Linked DNA regions of Oryzias latipes. The protein of the gene in region 2 binds, or shares a complex with, the protein of the main gene of each other region. Links are inferred from orthologs where the notes say so. Each region holds a gene or a part of one and is shown on either strand. Other genes may lie near its edges.

The links.
Region 1: strap (region 2) and gemin2 share a complex: the UniProt entries of both Homo sapiens proteins name them as parts of the SMN-Sm complex. The link is inferred for Oryzias latipes from reciprocal best matches to the Homo sapiens genes STRAP and GEMIN2.

What each region holds. Positions count from the first base shown.
Region 1 is NC_019880.2:19,643,235-19,647,522, forward strand, and holds the start of gemin2 (gem-associated protein 2), read right to left. Parts: upstream 3,001-4,288; 5' UTR 2,869-3,000; coding exon 2,747-2,868; intron 1,843-2,746; exon of another isoform or gene 1,828-1,842; coding exon 1,743-1,827; intron 1,614-1,742; coding exon 1,524-1,613; intron 1,440-1,523; coding exon 1,380-1,439; intron 1,299-1,379; coding exon 1,182-1,298; intron 86-1,181; coding exon 41-85; intron 1-40. Other genes in the region: transport and Golgi organization protein 1 homolog, read left to right, coding at 3,423-3,543, 3,686-3,819. UniProt on the Homo sapiens protein: The SMN complex catalyzes the assembly of small nuclear ribonucleoproteins (snRNPs), the building blocks of the spliceosome, and thereby plays an important role in the splicing of cellular pre-mRNAs.
Region 2 is NC_019881.2:4,535,972-4,540,348, forward strand, and holds the start of strap (serine-threonine kinase receptor-associated protein), read left to right. Parts: upstream 1-1,418; 5' UTR 1,419-1,696; coding exon 1,697-1,808; intron 1,809-2,232; coding exon 2,233-2,368; intron 2,369-3,090; coding exon 3,091-3,172; intron 3,173-3,895; coding exon 3,896-3,968; intron 3,969-4,045; coding exon 4,046-4,145; intron 4,146-4,377. UniProt on the Homo sapiens protein: The SMN complex catalyzes the assembly of small nuclear ribonucleoproteins (snRNPs), the building blocks of the spliceosome, and thereby plays an important role in the splicing of cellular pre-mRNAs.

The DNA.
Region 1 (4,288 bases), on a different chromosome or scaffold from region 2:
AATTACTTTTTTATCATCTGTTCAGTTAAAAAACAATTACCTGGTTTAGTCTGCATACGATGGTTAAGAATGGAGGAAACCCAACCTGAAAAAAAATGAAAACAAACACATCAGTAAAATCTAGTTTTCACGTTGTCCCTCAATGTAACATGCCTATTAAAGTGCCTTATTTCTGGGGCTGGAGGGGGGCAGTGGAGGCTTCGTTAGTTAGGGGGACCTGGTTGGGCGCCTGGAAGTGGGCAGGTGGGGGTACTGCATGGTCTTGGGAGAGTTTGGTCGGTGCGGTTGAGGGGGTCTGGCTTGGCTTGGGGAGTGGTCTTTTCAGGGGGGGTTAGGACAGGAGGAGGAGGTGCAGGCCCAGGTGCAGGAGACCCTGGGCCTGCACCTCTGCACTCTTCTGGTCCTGGGACGGGGTGGGGCAACCCTCTTGGGGTTTGCAGTTGCTCTGGGTGACACCTGCCATGGCTGCAGGATCTGGGGGGGGGGGGGGGGGGGGGGGGGGGGGGGGGGGCTGGTAGACTGGTTGGCTCTGTCCTCTGGGAAGGGGGTCCTCCATCAGGATGGGACTACAGAGGGTTGGGGTCAGCAATGAGACAATCATGGAGAGCCCTGGCTGGTCAAACTGCCTCGGTCAAGTTGGTGTGCTTTCTTGGCTCCTCTCTCTTTATGTATGCATAAGTATTTTTGTGTGAGCTGTAGTTGTATCGTGTATGTGTTGACATATGGAATGTGAAGATTTCACACAGGTATGTTTGTAACATACCTGTTAGCTCCTTTTGACTAATGCCTTAATCTGACAGTAATAATGATAAACCTCCAGCAACTTTTTGCTTTATGATTCTGAATCTACCCCCACTCTACTTCTTTGATCATGCTCCAACTTCCTTTAACCCCCCCCCCCTTTTCCCTTTTCAAAACAGGTATACAAACATAATCAATATAAATAAAGTTTACCCTCAAATACAGAAGAGTTTAAATAAATATACCCCTTGTGTGTCAGAAGATTCATGACCCCCTATTGTAACAGTAAAATCTCTCAAACACAAGAGGCCTTCAGCTCTGATCTGTTTGCTCAGCTGTTGGACAGAACAAGTTAACAAAAAAGAAAAAAAGTCTTATTTGAAACTTTTTGTTTCAAAACTTTGGCGTTTAAAAATTCTAACAACAGTTTAGTTGACAACCTTGCTATAGTCCAGTTCTGCCTCTGGTTTTGCATCTGTGGGGCAGGCTGATGCGCCCAAGTAGATCCTCTCTCCTAAACAAAACTTCTTCCAGCCCTCCTCATCTGTAAGGTTTGGCTGTAAAAGATCACACTTAAATATTATGCAAATGAGCACCTTTGACCTTTGCTAACATTGCAGCGGGATTTGACATCTTACCATGCGTACATTATTATCCAGAGTCTGGCTGCTCCAATGTTTTCTATTCTTGGTGATGCTCTAGTAAATTAAAAAATTAGACATTATAAGCAGAAATATAAGTGAGATATAAAAGCAACACACTGTTCTTTTAGTTTTTCTTACCCGTCTCACGTCAGAAAAATTACTGACTTGTTGTTGTTGCCAGTGAAGGCTGGGGGAGAAACCTACTGGGGGAGCGTGGCACCCAGCTACCTGAGACAGAAAATATGGTTTTCCAGATTATCATGTCTCTTGGCTGCAGAGTCAACTATACATGACCTCACCACACAGACAAAGCCTTAACAAATAAAGATTTGACCAAATAAATAGATTTTCACTTACAGATACATGGACTGTTTGCTTCTTCTTTAGTTTCTTAGGGTCAATTTGAGCAACCACCACCTCTGGACACATGGACGCTTCCAACCTACATCACAAGGAGGTGAGGGGTCACTGGGAAACACAGCTAATATCTTCTCTTCAATTTCTAAAACGAGTCATTCACAGATGTTGAAATCAATAATCTTTTTATTAGAAGAAGTTGAATTTCTTGCTGCTAAATCTTTTTGGTATTCAACCATGGGTGATTTAAATTGGGAAAAGACTAATACTTCTGTTCATAAATACTGTATTAATATTAAAATAAAATAGGTTTTATTTTGCTTTCTACCCAGTTAAAGATACACTAAGAAGATTTAAAATAAACAGAACAATTTTGTTTTTTGCCAATCAAGTAAGGAGACAATTTTCATTTATTTATTCTTTCTATGTACACCAAGCAATTTTGGTCGGATCTGCGTGAATTTATAACCACAAAATTTAATATAACTCTCTGAATTCTTTTTTTAATGTCATATTATATTTTTAATTACATGGTTTGCCCAAAAAGGTAAGTTTTGTTACTGAACTGTTCATTATTTTTGGGACATTCCTCATTCATACATATAAGCAGTCCATATTGAAGGCGACAAGAACATTTGATATTTTAAAGAAACGGCATATTATATTTTATTTACTTATATTCTATGTTCAAAAATAATTGGACTGGACTGATTATTAAAGTACAGGTGGCACGTGTTGTGCAACCTGTGTAGTGTTTTCTTTTACCTATATTATTCTATTCAGTTAATACAATAAGTATTGATAATAAAGTTTGTTGAAAAGAAACAACAGAAACACTTAAATATACTAAGTGGAGAGCTAATTCCACGGTTCGATACATAGACTGTAAATAGGAACTTTGGTTTTATACAATTTTTTTTATACCAATGCTTTGCTATTCTAAAGCATTTTAATTATGAAAACACTGGCTTTCCACTTTAATGAGAACAGAAGGGAGAACTTACTGGACCTGTCGCAAGTACTCCTGGGGGTTCCTCGGTGGACCGCTGAGGTCTACGTGCTCGGTGTCTTGTCCTAACTCCACCGGAAGCAGCCTTGGCATTAACTCCTCAACATCCGACTTCATTTTCCGCTAATAATGTAAAACTCTTAAGCGAAATCAGGACATTAAAACGAAGACTAGGCAGATGCTAGTATTTACTGTTGTCCAACAAGCGCCATTTTGTTTTTCAAACTAGATTTGATGACGCCAATTTTGTGCGCGAGGCGAGATTTGTTTCCATAGTGACGTGACAGCGCCTGAAACTTTGGCAGCGACAAGGAACGAAGTCCACGAGCATTTTATGTTGCGCATTTAAACACGTTTATTATACCTCAATTCAACCGCAGAAGCTGTTTAATAAATAAAAAAATTTCAAATCAAGTTGGTGAATGAAAAAAATAAACTTTTGACATTAGAGCTAAATTGTTTTGTTCTGCAATCAGGTTACGAGCAACGTTGTTAATTATTAGCTTCATGCTAGCGTTATATCTTATCTCCATTCTTTCGTTTACCACTAGTGAGGTTTCATGAGAGAAACAGCACAGAGTCAATGTCCACTTTCCTGAACAGCAGGTCAAAGGGATTTCTTCTCAAATATGGGACTTTTTCTATGATACACTCCAGCTAAAGCACCCAAAATGGATGTTTCCCTGCTACATAAATTCTGTTGGATTGTGGGTCTAACGTTTGTGATTTTGCCTCTTATAAATCCAGGAATGTTATCCGACTACAAGATCTGTGGAGATTCTGAGTGTGAAAGTAAGTCCAAACACTTGTGTCAAAATAGTTTGAAGTTCCTAAAAAATACTGTTATATTTTATGCATGAATTTAGCTTAGTTGGTTTATTAAAGACATTTTAATCATTTTAATGCAACTGATCACTTGTGTTTGTGTGTGTAGGCCTAATGAGCAGGGTTCAGGCCATAAGGGACCACAAGAGTAACGACTGCCGTTTTCTAAGCTTCAGACGTGGAGATATCATTTTTGTCTACCACAAACTTACAGGAAAGAGGGAGGATCTGTGGGCAGGCAGTGTATGTCCAATTTTCATCTCTTTTATATCTCTGTCGCCTCCTTATCATGAAACCTTAATGTAAATTGTCCCTTATCCAAGGTCTTTGGTTGAACAAAACAATATTCCTTATTATACAAAAAGCCTTAGTGTTTATTTGGGATGCTGACATCTTTGACTTTCATTTAACCGTTGGATGGAAGAGTTTTATTTTGAATGTTTAAATATAGTCATGTTTAAACTAATTTGAAAATTCTGTTAGAATTTAATATTTTGATGCCTGTTCTTGTACTCACGCAATGACAATAATATTGAATCTAATCTAATTTTTGTGTTTTTGACCTGTTAAATATGAATTAGATTTTGATTTCTTTAGTTTCAGAGCATCTTATCAAAAGCTTGTTGCTTTTCAGCATTTAAGTTTCACATATCTCAGAAAAGTAAGATACCAGAACTAAGCAATTTTTTAAAATATAAACATTCCCAGAACT
Region 2 (4,377 bases):
TCAGTCAAAATTAAAAGCAACATTGAACTATCACTAAACACTACATGGAAAAATAGAAAACACAATGCTCAGGACATGAAGCTGGAGAAATAAAAGTTTATTGTTGACTGTAGGCTCAATGCATGTTGCAGAAAACTTGTACAAAAATAGAAAAAAAAATCTTGAGCATTTACACATAGCACTTGTAAAAACAAACGAGCGTTTGTGACTTGTGTAGTTACAAAAAGAATACACGGTATTCTAGGCCTACAAACTGTTATACCAACCCTCCACTACAATATTACAATATTACAGTGCATTAGTTCAGTGGTACAGTAATTTCTGGCAACATTTACTTATAATGCCAATAAAAGGCATTTTACCTGTTCTTTACCCTAAATCTTCGGATCATGGTGGACACAGTGAATCTACTGGCGTTTGGTTGTACCTGTTGTCCAGCCTCCCTCATGCTAATCCCATGGACAAGCACTTTGTCGATCCCAGTAGCTCTGATTTCATGAGATGTTACTGTTCTTTGTCTTTGCTGACCACCTCAACCACCATGAACTCTTCCTCTCAGATTTCTGTCCATTGTAGGGCCTCACAAACCAGTGCTCTCTGAACTGGCTTACTTTATATGTTCTCCCACAAGTGTGATCAGTTTTGAGTTGTTGTGTTCAAGTGGGGACACCTGTGCTTTCTTTGTGTTTGACTTTTGTCACCTGTGCACACCTTTATGCAGCACGGGTGTATCACAATGAAAATGTGTTGCCAAGTCGTGTCTAAACAGGTGAGAAGTACTTATGGTTCGGCCAAAGGAACGTTCGATGCAATCAGTGGGTTCAGGCAACTGGGCATTTGGTTCAGACAATAATAGGGTTTAGTGTTTTAGCAATTGAGAACAACTGTAAGCGAAACTTTTCCTGTAAACAATATCAATAAATTACAGTATAGGTACTGGTTTGCAGCAGTAAAACTATATTCATTAATGCAGATATATAAAATCCCTACATTATATAACAGACTCTTAAACGTTTGAGTCTCTGGGTGCTTAATAATTCCATATAATTATTTGACATTTAAAACAACTGAATTAGTTTTTTTTTATTATTATTATTATTTAGTTAGTTAGTTAGTTAGTTAGTTAGTTAGTTAGTTAGTTAGTTAGTTAGTTAGTTAGTTAGTTAGTTAGTTAGTTAGTTAGTTAGTTAGTTAGTTAGTTAGTTAGTTAGTTAGTTTAATGTACGTAATGTCCTGCTAATAAAAAAGAGCTTCCCTGTTAGAAAATTGAGTAATTCTTAGAAATGAACCATCTATTGTAACATTTTCTTTATAAAATTCAATAAAAAAAACAAAAAACAACGTTTTTCTCCGTTACTTTCATAAAAAAAAAACGAAAACACCTGACAGACGGATTTTATTGTGAAATTCCCCGGAAGTGTGTCGTGTCTCGCGGTTTTGTGTCGTCATCGTAACTGCAGTTACGCACGTTGCTAGTTAGTTGCAATGTTGTAGCTATTAGCGCGAGGCCGTTTCTTCTCTGGGGGGGCCAAACCCTGAAGGACACCGACCCCCGCTCCTCACACCCGCACCCGCTCGACTGCTCCCCGTTACCCGACAGCCGCTCCTCCGCTCCCGGTTCGTTAGCGGGCCCCGTTTGTTCGCCGCCTCCTTCCGCGAGCGCGACGGTTCCGGCGGCGGCTGAAGACCACCAACCATGGCCATGAGGCAGACCCCCCTCACCTGTTCGGGTCACACCCGACCCGTGGTGGACCTGGCTTTCAGCGGAATCACGCCTTTCGGATACTTCCTCATCAGCGCCTGCAAGGGTGAGCTCCAGCAGGCCGTTAGCCGGCGCGGGGTTCCGGTGGCTCGGCCGTTAGCGAGCCCCTCTGTCTGTGCAGGCAGAACCCGATCTGGTCGTGTGTCGGTTCTGACTTAAAACGATCCTAGAAAACTCGTAGAACAGACCTGGCGGATCCGGTTCTGATGAATGGTCTGATTTCTGAGCAGAACTCTGTCTGTAGGGAAGTTGTGGGTCTTACTGGTAACTGTAATCCATGAAAGTAACGAGAGTATCAAGTAAGGCTCCTCAGGGATTCCTCATCAAACTCTAGGAAAAGCTAGTAATTAATGATTATGTAACAAAACTCAGGACTTGGTTCAAGCCCAACAGTTACTTTGGCAAAAAAAAAGTAACTGAGTAAATGTAACTACCCGCCTCTGGTTCTGATCCAATCCCTTCTGTTAAAGATGGCAAGCCCATGTTGCGCCAAGGAGACACAGGAGACTGGATCGGAACGTTTCTTGGTCACAAAGGTGCTGTTTGGGGGGCCACTCTGAACATGGACGCCACCAAAGCCGCCACCGCCGCCGCCGACTTCACAGCGTGAGTAGATTTGGGAAACTGCCTGTTTTCCCAAGGAAAAACACGCTTCTTTCCTACTGGGAAAGCAGCCTTTTCCTCCAGGAAAGTTGTTTTAATAGTAGGAAACAAACTACTTTCCTCCAGGAAATGCACTGTTCTACCTGCTGGAAATGAAGAATTTCCCCCAGAAAATGAGCCTTTTTTTCCAGGAAACTTTTTATTTCACTGGCTTCTTACCTAGGAAAAAAGCTTTTGTTTTCCCCCCCTCCCCTGGAATCAGGGTTTTATCTAGGAAAGAAGCGGTTTCTTTTTCTCCAAGATAACTAGTTTCTGTGGATTTTTTTTTAAGAAGTTGGCTTATTTTTTTTCTGGGAGTCTAAACGTCTTTCCAGTAGAAAAGAAACTCCTGACAGTAGAGTTGCTTTTTATTTTCAGGCACCCTGACTTTGTTCTACCCTGAAAACTAGCTTGATTTTCCAGTGTGCCTTGGAGGCACGTTAGCCCTGGAAGTTGGGTCATCTAGACCCACTAGACAGTGCTCTGAACCTTTTTTCTTCAATGATTTGTGATCTTCACTGGTGTCCATGGATTACATGAAATCTTTCCACCTTTGTCATCGTAGGGAGAACACGTCGATGTAAGGGTGGGGTCATGTTGCTGCTTTGTAATCCGTTGCCCCCCAACACTGACCGTCCCTCTATGTTCCCCTGTCACACGCTTCTGACCGTGTCTGTTTTCTGCAGGAAGGTGTGGGACTCGGTCAGCGGAGACGAGGTCCTGTCTCTGGCGCACAAACACATCGTCAAGTCTGTGAACTTCACTCAGGTCAGTGTGGCGCCAGGCGTCTCTGCTTTCTTTGTCCGTGTCTGCGTATGCGGGTTTTGGTAGAACCGATGTGGGTTAAAGACCCCGTCCTGTTAAAATGGTGGTAATTTTTCTCACGACGGAGAACATATAGACAGAAAATTAAGCTCAAAATAACATTTCTGATGTTTAATTTTTCAAATCAGGAGCAGACACAAAAATGTCATATATGTGACGTAGGAAATAGGCTGGGGAGTCTAAAGCTTCCTGCTCTGCTCCATTCTGATCATCCACCTGCAGACAAATAGATCCATGAACGTCTTTGTGTTCCTGGTCTGAGCTGGAATCTGGATCAGGACTGGACGGCTTACTCCACACCACAACCAAGAGGCTCATTTCTGATGAAGTCCTGCCGCCCTGCAGAAACTATGTCCTGGAAAATGACCAAAAACCGCATCATCATCATCATTAGAACACTTTGAAAATAAATCACAAGATGATTGGAGTGGCACCAAACTGTAATAGTGGGCCAAACGTAACAACTTTAGCTCATCAAACATCACAGCAAACTGAACCGTAAAGAGGAAGTGCTTAACGCTGGGACACCATCTATACAATGATTGTAGTCACAAAGTGCTCCGTGTTCCTGCTGCTTTGATTTTACAAACATGAGACAGATAAAGCTCCTGGTGAACATTCATCAAGCCAGATGGAGGACAGTAAATCTGTGCTTGTGTCTGTTAGGACAGCAACCACCTTCTGACGGCGGGAAACGACAAGCTGCTGCGCATTTTCGACCTCAGCAACACCGACGCAGGTGAGATGCAGTTTGAAGGTACTTCTGCTAAACACGGCATCATGTGACCCCCCCTCCCCCCTCCCTGTGTTCATCAGCCCCACAGGAGATCGCAGGTCACGGCGCAGCCATCAAGAAGGCTCTGTGGTGCAACGACGACAAGCAAATCCTCTCTGCAGCCGACGACAAAACCATCCGGTCAGTTCTTCTCTGAACGTGGGTCCTGCCGGCGCTGCCGGCGCCCTGGACGGTCCCTCCCGGATGCTAGGAGAGTCCGAATTCCTTCCGTTCTCAGTATATAGTGCTTTTGACATTTTGTAGTTATGTCTGAATCTACAATTCCAAAATCCAGTGCACTAGAAATTTCCCAGAAGTCTCTGCGAAAAAGCAGTGTGCATCGATTCTCACTAGATTGGTGAATATAGACCAT